Linked DNA regions of Drosophila melanogaster. The protein of the gene in region 1 purifies or fractionates together with the protein of each later gene. This does not show direct contact. Each region holds a gene or a part of one and is shown in the gene's direction. Other genes may lie near its edges.

The links.
Region 2: the proteins of Wdfy2 (region 1) and Lkb1 purify together in Drosophila melanogaster (affinity purification with western blotting, with the first as the bait; one study listed by BioGRID). This does not show direct contact.

Annotation. Positions count from the first base shown.
Region 1 is NT_033779.5:10,419,663-10,428,406, forward strand, and holds Wdfy2 (WD repeat and FYVE domain containing 2), read left to right. Parts: upstream 1-3,628; 5' UTR 3,629-3,684; exon of another isoform or gene 3,685-3,766; 5' UTR 3,767-3,857; coding exon 3,858-4,018; intron 4,019-4,088; coding exon 4,089-4,436; intron 4,437-4,708; coding exon 4,709-4,821; intron 4,822-4,881; coding exon 4,882-5,008; intron 5,009-5,071; coding exon 5,072-5,268; intron 5,269-5,329; coding exon 5,330-5,610; 3' UTR 5,611-5,820; downstream 5,821-8,744. Other genes in the region: RfC3 (replication factor C subunit 3), read left to right, coding at 1-268, 329-543, 606-683, 739-890; pie (pineapple eye), read right to left, coding at 1,166-2,800, 2,868-2,981; small ribonucleoprotein particle protein SmB, read right to left, coding at 5,866-6,462, 6,832-6,834; KdelR (KDEL receptor), read left to right, coding at 7,509-8,147.
Region 2 is NT_033777.3:13,672,708-13,680,690, forward strand, and holds Lkb1 (Lkb1 kinase), read left to right. Parts: upstream 1-3,841; 5' UTR 3,842-4,237; intron 4,238-4,308; 5' UTR 4,309-4,402; coding exon 4,403-5,505; intron 5,506-5,571; coding exon 5,572-5,766; intron 5,767-5,827; coding exon 5,828-5,985; intron 5,986-6,042; coding exon 6,043-6,290; 3' UTR 6,291-6,359; exon of another isoform or gene 6,360-6,433; 3' UTR 6,434-6,723; downstream 6,724-7,983. Other genes in the region: CG9588 (uncharacterized protein), read right to left, coding at 2,796-3,029, 3,094-3,420, 3,721-3,822; omd (oocyte maintenance defects), read right to left, coding at 7,024-7,305, 7,365-7,507, 7,572-7,983.

The DNA of each region.
Region 1 (8,744 bases):
TCCTTAACTTCGCGTCCACACGCACCATTTTCTGCGACACCTTTAAGCTGATCATTTTGGACGAGGCCGATGCCATGACCAACGATGCCCAGAATGCCCTGCGCCGCATAATTGAGAAATATACGGACAACGTGCGCTTCTGTGTGATTTGCAATTATTTGAGCAAAATCATTCCGGCGCTGCAGTCGCGTTGCACCCGTTTTCGGTTCGCTCCATTATCCCAGGATCAGATGATGCCGCGACTGGAAAAAATCATCGAAGCCGAAGCGTAAGGTCTTTCAACTGCATAAAATAGCTTATTACTAACCTAAAATCTATCAACTATCAGCGTTCAGATAACTGAGGACGGCAAGCGGGCACTGCTGACCCTGGCCAAAGGTGATATGAGAAAGGTCTTGAACGTCCTGCAGAGTACCGTGATGGCATTTGATACGGTAAACGAGGATAACGTCTACATGTGCGTGGGCTATCCGTTGAGGCAGGATATTGAACAGATATTGAAGGCCTTGCTATCCGGCAGTAGCTTGGAGGACTCCTTCAAAAGTATGATGCGATTTGAAATGGCGAAAGATCAAAACTAATGATTCTTTCTTCTCTTTGCATAGCTGTCGAAAGTGCCAAGTACGCAAGAGGTCTCGCTTTGGAAGACATCATTACAGAATTGCATTTGTTTGTTATGAGACGTAAGTTTTTATCAAGTTATCATCAAGTCAAGTTATTGATATGTATTCCAAACAGTTGAGCTGCCTATGTCGGTCATGAACAAGCTTATTGTAAAGCTAGCTCAGATCGAGGAGAGATTGGCCAAAGGATGTACAGAAGTGGCTCAAACTGCAGCTCTGGTAGCCGCCTTCTTTATTTGCCGAGATATGGTTTCAATGGAGAAGTGAAACAATGTGTACTCCAATAATAGGTTAGAATTAAATTATAAATACAAAAACATAAAACACAATTTATTTACTGCATGCTTCTCTAGTTTAACAATCATTAAACCTTTTTAAAGTGGTTTCAGAGGTAGGAAATTTTTTTTTGTTTTTTTTTTTTTTTTGGATGATCATGCGAAACAATATATGCATAAAGAGACTAGAATTCTATGACGAATTAATTCCCACACAAGAGAATTGTTTAAAACATTAAGAACATTAAGAATTGTTTTAAACAATATTTAAGAGAACCCCTCTGATCTGTACCATTCGTGGAACTTCTCGATATGCTCAAAGATGCCGCGGTCCTCGCTGCGGCACCATACATCGTCTGGTGTTATGTTGACGCGTTCCAAAGCTGCCTGCGAGGTGTCCTGAATGCGCGGGTCATCCTCTTTAAATCGCAGCACACACGTACCAATGCACTCACCCATGCATGTGCCGTGCTCAAATTCGTAGATAACCAAGTAGAAAAATGGTTCGCCAGGGCATTGAAAGCCCGATTTTAGCACAAGTAAAGTATTTGGATCCTCTTTCGGCAGTGACGGTGAGTTGGGAGCTTTCGCCACAGCTTGTTCCTGCGGCTGTGGACAATCGAAAGTTTGTGATACTAGCTGCGTTGAGAAGCTGGCTTCTGGCTGCGGTGAGTGTGGAATCGTGTTTAATGCTGTTTGCTGCGTTAATTCAGGGTTTACGTTTATTGCTGTTGTCTGCGGTAAGTCGGGGATCTCACTTGCTGCTGTTGGCTGCGGTGAGTCGGGGATCTCACTTGCTGCTATTGGCTGTGGTGAGTCGGATGTGTCCCTTCTTGCTATTGGCTGCGGCGAGTGGTTCTCATCGATGGACGTCTTTGGCGACGCCTCTGGCGAATCAGGAATTTCCACTATCATCTCCTCCTGTGGCGGCGATAAGGATAACCTCTCGCTTGTTGCGTTAGATTTCGGTTGGCTGAATATAACCGTGATATTACTACTTCGTTCGCTTTCGTCTTCTTCGGAGAAAACAGGAGTCTGGGTTAAGGATCGAGTTGCAGCATCGGGTCCCAATTTTTGCACATAAAAAGAGCCATCCACCTGGTTGTCGCCGTCAGCATTGGTTTCTTCTGTTGTGCGAGCCGGTCCTTCAGCAATCCTCCTCTCCACGTCCAGGCACATAGAGCACTTGAAATCTGTACGCTCGCGCTTCTTCGGCAGTCGCAGGGCGCCCACCAAGCATTTAAGATGAGCCGAAGTGGCGGCACAAGAACTGCAGCATAGTATCACCCACGATAATCTATTATAAGTTCTACCACTGGGGCACAGGCAGTTGGGCTGGTCGCATTTCAGATTGCGCTCGTGGAGCTCCCTATAGGCGTTCCGTTGCTTCTCCCACGTGGCATCGCGATCGGGCACGAATACCGACTGCAGGCGTATGGAATCCCTGAAACGTTCCGAACGACACCAAATGCAACGCAAGTAATATCCGGAGGTCAGAGCGTACTGACGCATGCATTTCTTATGGGCGAATCCGAGGCGGCAGCAGTCACCGTACACAACGCAATGCAGCTCTACCTTATAGATGGAACTGAAGCAGATGGGGCAAGTGGCGTTCCTCGGCGGATTCGACTGCAGCTGTCGCTTGTAGTCATCCATCGGCCTGCATTTGTAGCAGTAGCTTTTGTATTGGCCGCAGAACTCGAAAACGGCGCGATTCTCCAGGCCGCACTTCAGGTGAAACAATGACCGGCAACGATCGCATTGCAAACTGGCCCCAATCTTATTGCAGTACCAACATTTCCTCTTCTCCGCGGCGGCTGCCTCCTCGCGGATATCGCGAAGCAGAAATCCCAGGATTCCACTGCTATCTCCGCCGCGCTGCGGCAAATGCGTTGAGAGTAGCTGGTGGATTGGATCAGGAAGTTTACATTAGCGGGAGTTCTCTTCATTTCACAACAATCGCACTTACCAGGCAAAAATAGTGCACCTGCAAATTGCGTACAATCATCCATTCGCCAAAGACCAGGTCGTCAGTGTCCGAATATTTGCATATTAAGCATTGCAGCTCCTTGTTATCTTCCATTTGTAAGCTGGCCGCTCAGACTAGTTTTGCTGGACAGATCAACTCGTTTGAGTGCTATTATGAATAATTTTTAAAACTATCAACATGTTTTGCATTCCTTTTTTACTCTATTGGCGGGCAAGGATTTTGAAAAACAATAAATACAACAGCGCCTTATTATACTTCAATTCCACCAAGCACATTTTTGGAAAAGCTCTGTTTCCACTGAGCAACACTCACAATGATCTAATCTGCTTAACTAGCTATATTTTGCGTTAACCCTACTTATAATAAAATTATTTATTTATGTGTAATAATAAATTTTAACGTATTAAAAACTTAACACAATATAAACAAATATTTTGTGATTAATAATTAAATAGCATGATAACCGGAAACATAACTGTGCGTGGTCCGTAGGTTTTATTAGATATGATATGCCATTATGAAAATCATAAGACTATACATTTATAAAGCGATTTCTGAGATTCAAGATTCAAATGCTCGTTTGTATGTTTATAAAATGTGGTGCGTGCATATGCATACATAATGCTGCGACACATCACACGAAATACCTTCAGTATTTTTAATAGCAAAATAATATACAATAATACGCAAAAACTATATCTAACAATTAAGATTCTATTTTCATTTCATCGATTCCACTATTCCGCAGCATTCCTAAACTTGGCGTCGCTATCTAGACGAGCTTTCCAACAACAAAGTTCAGTATATTTAATGTTAAACAAAATAACACAGTTTTGTTAATTGATTGTGAATCACGTATCTCCATTCACCTTCCCCAGTCCGAGAATCGGATTGTTTATAACCGCATTATCATCGAGTGCGTTAAATAGGGCGTAGGCGTACCATCGGACTGGATCCACCTTAAATAATATGGCTGCCGAGATAAAACCAGCTCAGCGGACCAACAATGATCGCTTTAACACCTCCAAAAAGCCGGAATTGCTGAGTAAGCTGGAGGGCAGCAGCGACGATGTGAACGCAGCGATCCTAATTCCGGGCGAAAACGGCGTAATTAGCGTTTCCGATGACAAGTGCGTAGCTGTAGCCCATTAAAAATATACACAAATGGTATGCCTGACATTTTCATGTTTTCCCCAATAGAACCGTTCGCGTTTGGCTAAAACGCGATTCTGGTCAATATTGGCCTAGCATTTGCCAGTATATGCCTTCCGGCTGCACGGCCATCGAGTACGTTTCGGAATCCCGGCACCTGTACGTCGGCCAGGAAAACGGAACGGTCACCCAGTACGCGCTATCCGAAGACTGCAATCGCCTGTCCTTCCTGCGGGATTACTTGTCCCATCAAGCGCGGGTCATGGCCGTGGTCTTCTCGAAAACCCACAAGTGGATACTCTCCGCCGGCAAAGATAAGCAGTTCGCCTATCATTGCACGGAGAGCGGCAAACGGGTGGGCGGATACAACTTTGAGACACCATGCACGGCTCTCCAGTAAGTATGATAAATGGATGGTGAAAGGGGGAAGGGGGTGCGACAGTGGATATGGGATAAGCGGGTCATTTAATTGGATTAAACTGCTTTCTTTGACACGGCAATAAACTGCAATTCTTCACGGCTATGGAATTCATTTAGAATTTGAGAACCTTCTATTGTTAATGACGTGTCAACTGAGTCATTTTATCTACACAAAATTTTGGCATAAATGTGTGCACTGTGCGAAATATTCTATAAGCAACATATAATTAATTATAATCTGCGTTTAGGTTCGACGCTTTGGCCAAGTATGCCTTTGTGGGCGATCATGCTGGACAGATAACAATGCTAAGGTGCGATGTTCAGGGAGTGCAACTAATTACCACTTTCAATGGACATTCGGGTAAACAAGTTACAAATGATATTTAGTAAGCTAATTATATACGAATTGGTTAATTTTTAGCGGAAATCCGGTGCCTCAAATGGGTGGAAGGCCCTCAGCTCTTGTTTAGCGGAGCTTGCGATCAGTCCGTGCTAGTTTGGGATGTTGGTGGCAAACGTGGCACCATTTACGAGCTGCAGGGACATAGGTATCTCCAATCTTAAATAATATTCATAAAATAAGATAGTAATCGGCACTTCTGATTATGTAGCAACAAAGTTTCCGCCCTGTCGTACGCGAATCACACGCAACAACTGATAAGCTGTGGCGAAGATTCAGTAGTGGTTTTTTGGGAAATGAATGCAATGCGGAAAGAGGTTCCTGGCTGGGTGGATACCAACAACTGTCAGCTTTGCTCCAGGCCCTTCTTCTGGAACTTCCGCTCAATGATGGATCAAAAGCAGCTGGGTGAGATAAATAGCTTACACTTGAGTTACTCTTTGTTTTACAAGTAATTTCTGACTGTCAGGAATACGACAGCATCATTGTCGCCACTGCGGCAAAGCCGTGTGCGACAACTGTTCCACCAATCGCATTAACATACCCATAATGGGCTTCGAGTTTGATGTGCGTACCTGTGATCCGTGCTACAAACAACTTCAGACAGTCGAGCGCCCCTCGCTGGCTTCATTCAATGACGCCAAGCATTCGATCGTCTACATGGACCTGGACGAGGACAGAAAGCGCCTGTTGACAGTGGGCCAGGACAGGCTCATCAAGATCTGGGATCTCTCCAACATCTGGGCATAAAACATCCTGTACGCACACGCACGTACCAAAGGTATAATCATTCACGAGGCGTTTCGGTCTTAACTGGAACACCCAATTAACGAACGATGTGGCTGGCAACGACCAAATCCAGTCCCTGCTGCTTAGGTTCTCATATAATTGATGTAAAGCAATAATCATTGTATGTACGTATGCTTACATTCAACACATAAATACACGAATCCATCGATTAAGTGGTGTTTTCTAAATGAGTTTTTATTAGATTGTACTTTATACTTAATAGCCACCCCTGCCCGGTGGTGGTGCTCCACGGATCATGCTGGGCGGCGGTCCGCGCATCGGTGGCGGAGCACCGCGTCCCATGTTTCCTGGCATCGAGGGCATGCCGCCGGGAATCATGCCCGGTGGCGGTGCACCCATCATCGGTGCTCGTGGCACTCCTCGTCCCATCGGAGCCATGTGCTGTTGGGCGGGTCCGCCCACACCTCTCACGGGACCCTGGAGACCCGCTGGCACGGCGGACAAGTTGATAGGCATTCCGCGTCCGGCCACGCGACCGATTCCCGGACCAGGAGCTGCTCCCGGAATGGGAACTCGGGGCAGGCCCTCCTCTGGCGGCGGTGGTCCCTCCACCGTCAGTGAAACTATGTTCTCGCCGCGCAGCAATACAAAGCCCAGCACGCGCTTCTCCTCGCGCTCGGGCACCTTGGAATTCTTCGAGCGAATCTTCCGGAACTCCTCGCAGTCGCCGAGGATCAAGTTCATGTGTTTGTCGAAGGCTTTGAAGGTACCGATGAAGGTACGCGAGTCCTGCAGCACGATTCGCACCCGATAATTCAGGTGCTGAATCATTTTGTTGTTCTTGCCGATCGTCTGAAATAAAGGAATTCAAAGGATTTAATTGTGAAATACAATAGCATGCATAAAAGTCGCGCCATCTTTTGTAAACCATTTCGACCCTTTAAAAAAGCCGGTATTTATAAAAATTTTAATAAACCACAGAGTTTGAAATAGCAAATCTCAGCGTAATATCGAAGATCACTAAAAATCATAATTTTAAACAAATATAAAATAGTTAATTAGCCAAAACAAATTGTTTTATTTATTCGCATGCATGTTTGTATGTATGTATGCCTATGTAAATACGAAATCGCAACCGCGAAAGTAAGAATCTATGAATTAATACAACTAAACAAAACTTAACCATTGCAGTCAGATGCTTAAAACAGTGTTTTTACTTACCATTTTATTTGATTTCTATGTTAATTCTATCGCTTGTAAATAAAATACAGATGCCGGAACCTCACCACGGCTTTTTTCGATAGGCATGAAGAATAAATCGAGTGGCGTGTGCGGCGGTCAGCATTTTCTGGTGTCTTTCAATCGAGCCTATCGAATATAAATTTTTTATTGATAATCCACATGATTTTTTAAACAAACATTCGACTATCCCTAGCAAAAGAAGAGAAAAAAATTAAATTTTTTTTAAATCTTATGATAAAAAACGAAAAAAGAAAAAATTTGAATCAGTATGTTTTTTCTCAATTTTTTTCGTTAGAGATGGTCGAATTTTCATTAAAAAAATCATGTGGCGGCACTTATCGATATCGATAGGCAGTGGCCATGTTATCAAACTTATTCTTATTCATCAGCCACGTCATTGTTTATGCCGACATTCTGACAAGTTTTTTTCCGAAGCGGCAAAGCCCTCACATCTCTACTCGTTGGCAAATTAGGCGAAAAGTCATTTTGGTAACGTATGCAGCTGTTGAAACACTGAATGCCGCCATTATTGCTATAGTATACACTCCCATTTTCATATAGGCGTGCGTTCCGTGACGCAGCCGCAGCGAAAGGAAGTAGAACAATCAAACAGCCAACCGGGCAGCCAAGTAGCCAAGTCGGCGGATTAGATCACGATGAATATCTTTCGCTTTGCTGGGGATCTGTCGCATGTGTTTGCCATCATAATACTGCTGCTGAAGATATGGAAGACCCGCTCGTGCGCCGGAATATCGGGCAAGTCGCAGATCCTGTTCGCCGTGGTCTATCTGACGCGCTACCTGGATCTGTTCACCACCTACGTGAGCCTGTACAACTCGGTGATGAAGGTGTTGTTCCTGGCCACGTCCGGTGCCACCGTGTATTTGATGTACGTGAAGTTTAAGGCCACCTATGACCACAATCACGATTCGTTCCGCATCGAATTCCTGCTGGTGCCGTGCGCCCTGCTCTCGCTGGTGATCAATCATGAGTTTACCGTGATGGAAGTGCTGTGGACATTCTCGATCTATTTGGAATCGGTGGCCATTCTGCCGCAGCTGTTCCTAGTGAGCAGAACCGGCGAGGCCGAGTCCATCACCAGCCACTACCTCTTCGCCCTGGGATCGTACCGTGCACTCTACTTGCTCAACTGGGTCTACCGGTACATGGTCGAGTCGCACTACGACCTTATCGCGATCTTCGCCGGAGTTGTCCAGACCGTCTTGTACTGCGACTTCTTCTACTTATACATTACCAAAGTTCTTAAGGGCAAGAAGCTCCAGCTGCCGGCATAAGCGGATGATGGATAAGTGCATAGATGTGGGACATTTGTGTTTTGTCGGCACACATCATCAATCGACGTCAGAGTAAACAAGCGAGCGATCCACGGCCCGTTTGACAACGCGTATTTCGTTCATATTATACAAAAGATACATAATCGAGGGGAGCGCCTAAGTTGTAATTATTTAATGAGAAATAAACCGAAAATCGAAAGTACACTATAAACTATGCAATACCGACATCGTACATTGAAAATGTAACAAATGTATTAATCTCCGTTTTCCGAACTGCACTCACAAATTTTAGAATCCAAAAATATTAAAAAAAAAAATCATTACTCCAGTAAGAGATAACGTTAATTGACAAAATCGAAACAAATGTTTTCTCTTTTGCGCGGAGGCTTATCTGATTCGCAATAGTATCACAGAAGAGGTCATAGATTTCTTTGTTTAATTAAGAATTTAAAGTTATGCATTAAATAGCTCTTAAGTCGACTGTATCCTAAAAATCCGAGTAAAGTTAAGTCTTATTGTGTGGCTAATAGTAAAGTAAATGATGAGCGATGTCAACATATAATACACATAATATTCTGAAAAATAGGCCGCAGGATC
Region 2 (7,983 bases), on another chromosome or scaffold:
TCTCAAGGATTATGGTGCCACTGGTGGTGGTGGTGGTGATGGTGCTGGTGCTCCTGCTGATGGCGGGCGCCATCGCGCTGCACTTGTAGTTTCTGCCGCCGTGTCCTTCCTGCGTGAAATGACTCGAATTAGGGTCTTTCTTTTTATGGCCGGGCTAAAAATAACGACTGCAACTAATCTGTCATCATCAATACCACGCTACCACTACACTGGGTTGCTCCTATGGAGCTTCGCCTATCATCCCAGTGTTGTCTATAAAAGGTAGTGATTTTGCAATATGAGGGATCAATAATGTTATATCTAAGGATTTTCAATGAAACTCCCACAAAAAGATGTGGTATTAATATCTTTTTCTTGCTTTCTCATATGTCATAGCATACTTTTAAGCACCTTTTCAAAGAAACTTCGAAACTAAATGTTTTCTGTGGAAAATAGCATACTTTAAGGCACATATTTCAAGGATATGATGTTCTGCAGCATTGAAACTCCACAAATGGCTCTTCAATGTGTACATTTAACTGCCGAAGGACTTCTGATCCTTTTCGACGCGTAAAGGATCAACTTGAACTTCATTGTTGTGCCACCATGATGACCGGCGCTGTGTGTACTTTTCATCTCAGCTAACACACACACATACGCACACACACACACACACTGGCCCACCACACAAACATGCAAATGAATTTTTCATTTGCATGTGTCCTTCGCCCAATGAGCGTAAGGACTTGTGGACACACTGGCACAACTGGCACTTTTTGGCAACGTGTGAGGCTGCGAAATCTCAGCTGTAATTGTTGAATAATTCAGTTAGCACGCGGGATAATGAGACGCCGAAAACTGAAAATGAAAGCTCCTCCTTGAAGTTCTCTTCGAGTGTAAGTGTGTGTGGCCATCTAACGCCAATTTATTGATGAACAATGAGGCAGCATTGCAGTGTCTCTGAATTATTCAAGTGTGTGTGTGTGTGAATGTGTCCCTGTGTTTGTGTGTGTGTGTGTGTGTGTGTGTGGGGCTCGAAGCGCGTTGAAGTGTACGCACGCACACAAGCGCAGCGCAGACACAGGCTTTTTTTAATTCATCGAGAGTAGCAGCCGAAATGTTTGGTCCTTCGGTGCGGATTGTGGGGGTTGGTTTTCCTTTGCCCCACAGCGACGCACAGACACACACACCACACACACACACACACACAGGAAAAGGATGCCCGCCCTTAGTTAACTTTTTTGTTAGTTTCCCCGCTGCTGCCTGTTTGTTGTGCTATTTCGCGCAGCTTTCGTAGCCCCAACCACCAAGCAGATTCCCTCACAATTCCCATGCACTGGCAATGACAGTGACACTATCCTGCCACTCCAGTTCGCGAAAAAAAAGATGAAAAGAAGGACGAGAGCTGGCTGGGTCCACGCATTGGAAGTGTTTCATTATATAAAGCCCGCACACATACACATCCTTTCCGCCGCACAGGACGAACGCGAACGGCTCGCAATTTTCATCGGTCGCGTTGTTGGCAGCAGGCAGATCCTTTCAATCGCTCACGTTAATTGCACAGAAATTCAGCGGCGCCCCACGATTTTTTCACTAGCGTAATTTGACGGCGATTGGGCCGCACTTTCGTCCTGTCGCCACTCGGATTCGGATTCGAAATCGCATCCGTAATGCTCTCGATTCGGATTCGACGGCTGCGGCAGCTTTGCTCCGGCGCACAAAACAAGCAAACTGGTGCGGGGATAATTTTTGTATATTTTGGCAAGCAATTGGAATTGTTATTCGCCAGTCGCTTTGCTTCAACAATTTCACTGCATTTGTAATTATCCTTTTTTTTATCGTGGCAATCGGATGCTGCGGCGCGGGTGAAAAAAGTTTTAAACTTTTACGCTGCGTGTTGCTTAAATAGATTTTCGGGCGAAAGCTCGTCCTGCCAAATTCGCTCTCTTCGCGGAAAATCTCTCTCACTGTTAAGCTAACATGTGTCCTAACCGGTTAAGCGAATTCTGTTACGGAATTTGGTTCGAGTCTGGGCTGCAGACTGTTGCATTTAATTTAAAAAAAACCTGATATAAAAAACGAAACAAATAAAATGACTTTGCCATCTCATAAAAACTATTATTCCAATTGATTAACAATACACTCTTTCAATTAAATTGCTCACGTCAGATATATAAATAATTTTATCTTAAGAAGGAGTACAGTTTTAAAGCCATTGTGCCCTGACTAAGCGCTTGAGCATTGGTTGAAAACTTGGCTAGTACCTGGATGTTCAAAAACAGAACTTTTAAAATCGAACATTTCTTTAGAATTTGTTTCTCTGTTAAATTGAAATGTTCATAAGAAGAATAAACCATAGTCTTCTGCAAAAACGTTTATGCTTTTAGATAATAATTTCCAAATTTGTTTTTTATATTTTTAATTATATATCCTTCTTTATTTACCAGTAAAAGCGCTATAAAAACTTATTTGTTAGTAAAACCGCCTCATCATTTTGTTACGCATCATTTCATATTGAATGAAAATTAAATGCAAAAAAAATCGGTCATGTCGACAGAATCCACCGAATCACAATATCATCCTTTTGCCTGTCACCTGTGCACCTTGGGTCACTCCACTGCTGCTCCTTGGCCCACTGACCCGGCTGTCAGTCAGCGAGATGACTCCAGCTGAAATTGCCCTGAAATCGCGTCCAAAAATCAATTTTCACAATTTGGAGCAACCATGTTCGTCGGCCTGGCAGAGATGGGCTGATAACTAAAGTGCAGGGCAGGAGTGCACAGGCAACTCGAAAAAAGCTTAAACACAAAGCTACATCAGTGATCCATCGCCTCGGGCGGCAGGACGATGTTGCAGCCCAGGAGACCGCGTCCACTCCACGTTTTCGGCACCAGGATGAGGTCCAACTGCTGCTCGCCGCGCTTCACTTTCAGCTGGACATTCTGGCTCTGCATGTTGCGCACCAGCTCGCCAATCTGGGCGAGATCTCCCTTGAAGTTGCCGCTATTGATGGAGCCAAAGCGGAGGATGGCATCGCCGGCACAGAGACCCTTAAATGGTAAAGATGGCCCATCTCAATGCTGTGATCTTCGCTTGTTTACTACATTCACTCACAGCTCTTTCGGCGGGCGAATCGGGACTGACCAGATTGACCACCACGATGGCGCGTGCAGGAGCAAGATCCGTGATATTAGCGCCACCGGGTGAACGGTCGCTGTCCAGGTCCAAAGCGGAGGCGCGGTTCACCAGCTCCGGATCTGTGGTGGCAATCTCGCTGTGATATTGGTTGAGCAGCGTCTGGATCTGGTTCATCAGCTCCTTGTGGTCGTTCTGCAGGCAGATGATCGTCTGTCGCGCCAGGCGCACCTGGTAAACGTCGATGTCGTTGCGCGGAAAACCCTCGGCGTCCACCAGTGGTCCACTCATGCCCACATTGTCGTTCTGGAAGGAAGATATCATTATCAATGCTATACAGCATAAACAAAAGAATGTACTCAAAATACAATTGTGTATATACCCTACACCAAAGCATAGGATAATGCTGTAATGCTTGCCCAAGTGGACATACCCTAACCAACAGTAGGGTATTGAATATATCAACATTTGGCTTGGCGGTCCGTCCAAGTTGAAGAACCTGCGATCATGAATATCCACGGTGGTGCGTCACCAACAGCTTGCCACAGTGTGCATACCCTATCCCGGATGCAGGGTATCCCCGGATGAGCAAGCGAATTTACTTACGGCGGCCAGGATCTGTCCGTTTCTGTTGATCTGCGCCTCCAGCTGCTTTTTAGCGTTAATCAGACGCTCCAGGCGCTCCTTGGTCGTCGTCCCAGCGGCCATGACTTCCACTTCGATTCGAGTTATTCCAGCGTTCGTCCCGAAAAATACAAATTTATTATTTTTCGTTAATGTTTTTTTTTTTCAGCAGCGACAGTAGCAACAACAACCAGTGCTCGTGCAGCCCTGGTTGCCCGCGACCAGTGTGACCGTATTGCGGCGAACTTACTTTGGCCAAAAACTAATTGTTAAACAATTTTTCGGAAGGGGAAAAGAACAAATTGAACGGCGAGAGTAAACACAGGAATTCACAAATTTCTATGAGAAACAGATCGCACGACGGTGAAACGAAAGGGGGGAACGCCTTTCCAGCGGACATCGCAGAATAGACGACGGGCGACGAGGGACCTCGAAAAATCGCACGGCAATCAATTCGAGTGTGTGCGAATTGATTACAAAAATAAAGGTATTTCGAGAGGTGAGCGATAAAAGCGCGTGTGTGCCTGGTGAGGATTAGGTGTAGCCATGAACTAACCAAACGTTTTGCAGCCACAGGCAACACAGGGACCACACCGTCCACTCCCATCCGCCGGAGTGGGGCTGCCACCTGCGATATGTGATCATTGGGGCTCCGCGGAGGTTTATGCAATGTTCTAGCTCTCGGCCAGTCGGAGGTAAAGCAGCCGGTGGAGCAGAAGCAGGAGGGGCAGGAGCAACAGGCCAGATGACTGTGACCACCATGGAGGCACAGGTCAAGGCAGCACACCATCATCATCTACATCATCCCACGGGCGGAGGGGCCCAGCACAAGGTGGAGGAGGAGGAGCCGGATCCTGTTGAGGACGAGATGACCGTACTGCTGGCCAATAAGAACTTTCACTATGACGTCGCCTCCGATCTGGACGACGACGCTTTTGTGGAGCTCAAAGAAGACACCGCCCAAGCGGATGATGCGGGCGCGGGCGTTGGCTTCTACAATCCGGATGAACTGCTGCTCGATGACCAGCCACATCCGCAAGTCACGTGGCTGGACGACGACGAGATCGAGACGCTCGATCGCGTGACGCTGGACATGGGTAATATGTTCTTCAATCGCGTCGACAGCCAGGACATCATCTATCAGCAGAAAAAGAAGAGCATTAAGATGGTGGGCAAGTACATAATGGGCGATGTTCTCGGCGAGGGATCGTACGGCAAGGTGAAGGAGGCCATGAACTCGGAGAACCTGTGCCGCCTGGCCGTCAAGATCCTGACTAAGCGGAAGTTGCGCCGGATTCCCAACGGCGAACAGAACGTAACGCGCGAGATCGCCTTGCTGAAGCAGCTGAAGCATCGACATGTCGTGGAGCTGGTCGATGTTTTGTACAACGAGGAGAAGCAGAAAATGTACTTGGTCATGGAGTACTGTGTCGGCGGGCTGCAGGAGATGATTGACTATCAGCCAGACAAGCGGATGCCGCTGTTTCAGGCGCACGGTTACTTCAAACAGCTAGTCGACGGCCTGGAGTACTTGCACAGCTGCCGGGTCATCCACAAGGATATCAAGCCAGGCAACCTGCTGCTCTCCCTGGATCAAACGCTGAAGATATCCGACTTCGGTGTGGCGGAGCAACTGGATCTGTTCGCACCTGACGACACATGCACGACGGGCCAAGGTTCTCCGGCCTTCCAGCCACCGGAGATTGCCAACGGACACGAGACGTTCGCCGGCTTCAAGGTGGACATCTGGTCCAGCGGAGTGACTCTGTAAGCCTTCCTTGTATAATATCATGTATTAAATGTATATACTGTACTAATCTAACGGATTTGCAGCTACAATTTGGCCACTGGACAGTATCCCTTCGAGGGCGACAATATCTACCGACTGCTGGAGAACATCGGGCGAGGTCAGTGGGAGGCGCCCGCGTGGCTATACGAAATGGACGCGGACTTTGCCAACCTGATTCTCGGCATGCTTCAGGCTGATCCCAGTAAACGCCTCTCTCTGCAGGAAATACGCCACGACACGTAAGTAGGAATATTCCTTGATTGCACTTCATGATAACTGATTGTTATAATCTGCTTTTAGTTGGTTCCGATCCGCACCGGTTAAGACCGGCCCACCGATACCCATTCCCCCCCTGAAGGGTGACAAATACCGCAACTCCACGGTGATACCTTACTTGGAAGCTTACCACTACGGCACCCAGGAGGAGGATGTCTACTTTACAGAACACGACGTAAATCGTACGTACCAACATCAATCTAATGCCGAGTGAACTACTTTCATGGTTACCTTTACAGAGGAGCTCGCCCGCCAAGCGGCAGCTGCTGCCTCCGAAATTCGGGCCAAACAGTCGGCGGCAGCCCTAGCCGCCTGCCACACCTACGAACCGCCCTCCACAAGTGCCGCAGCCGCCAGCAATTCGCTGGGCAACGGTAGCAGAGAGGAGGCGCCCGTCAAGAAGAAGGGATCGGCACTGAAGAGGCGCGCCAAGAAGCTGACGTCCTGCATCTCCGTGCGCAAGCTGAGCCACTGCCGAACTTCGTAGGCGCCTTAGATGCCTCCACTAAACATAGATGCTAAGATTTATCGAAAGGAATAACTTTGTTAACAAATTGTGAGCAACTTTTTGGTTTTGTTTTCCCGTTTTTATTCTGTTGTCCTACATTCGCCAAGTATTTGTAACCATAGAATCATGTAGGAAATTCAGGCGCAACCTCGTACCGCCCGAGCAGCAGGAGCAGCAGCGGTCGCATCAACAGCAGCAACAGCCCGCATCAGCGGAGTTGGCTGTGGAATTGGGGAGCTATGGGAGCGACACGAAAGCTATATATCCATGTGACAATACTGTGTATTATATGAAACAAATGAATGCGTAAATTAGTCGTTAATATATTATGATGTACTGAAGGCAGCCGAGGATTGCCGGAGGAGACGGTGCCCATTGGTGCGTCGCACACATAAAGAAATATGTTCAAGTGAAATTGTTTGTTGGCTTCGTTATATTCTAAACTACACACGACGAATGATGCGATTTTCAGGCGCCGTCGGTACAATAACTGCTGGACAGTATTTGCAAGGCCTAGGTTGAGATTTTAATTTTTACAAACCAATGAAACGAAAATAAAAGAACCCATTGAATATCAAAATACAAACACTGCATTTAGTTCGCACATTTCGCACATTCCAAATTCCACACTCAACACTCGCAGACGCTCCATTATTCCATGCACACACGCTCATGCTCACACTACAACATTAGGCTAGCTAACTACGTTTGCTTAATCTATTTCAACGATCTGCAGCCGGGCCGTCGGATCTGGCTCTGAGTCGCCCTCCATCAGCTCGCCCATGATGAACATCTGATGGTAGTGGGGGCCCAGGGTGGACAGCTTACGCTGCATTAGGTGGCGCAACGGGTCCACATATTGCGGCGGCACCTTGGCCAGCTGTGTATTCGTGTTGCGCCAGTGCAGCCCGTTGTTGTCCACGTGAAACAGCGCCGGCGAGGGCACGTGATCTTTAAGATAGTTCCAGATGCACTCGCGCAGCAGCAGGGCAATCTGGAAATGTCATACATTAGTTGGTGCTACTACACAGTTTGGGCAAATAATGGATCTACCTCTGCCGATTCAAAGTGCTCGATGATGAGATGCAGATTGGTGAGTGGAGGTGGAATTAGTTGGCTCATAGCCAGCAGTTGCAGCATCTTCTTGGTGCACAGCATCAGCTCATCGTTCGCAGCAGTGGGCTGGAATCGATTGACTGCAAACGTATAATATGATTAGGCACCTTTATAGAAAATAAGCAAGTAAAGTGACAAGCTCACCATTCTTGCCCCGCCAGTGATGCAAGCAGGTGGCGCACAGTGCGCGCAGTAGCACGGAGGAATAGCAAAGCGCCGGCCTATGACCGGCGATCAGTCCCAAAACAGCCCACAGCACTGGGGAGTTGATGAACGCTCTCCTGATTAGCATGTCCCGCTCCATTGTGACCCTGGTGAACTCCTCATCCGGAAAGGGCAGGCCGTTGTACATGACATCCGTGGAGACCAGCTCGACCAGCAGCAGCGAGACCAGCGAGTAGCCCTCCACGTTGTTGGGCTTCTCCAGATCGGCGCAGCATGCATTCAATGCCTTAAGATACAGCGCCTGCTTCTCCGCATCGCAGTTCCGCTCGCTGGGGGGCAGCACTGGTCGCAGACCTCTGCCTATAATACCGGAATGCAGCACGGAGCGATT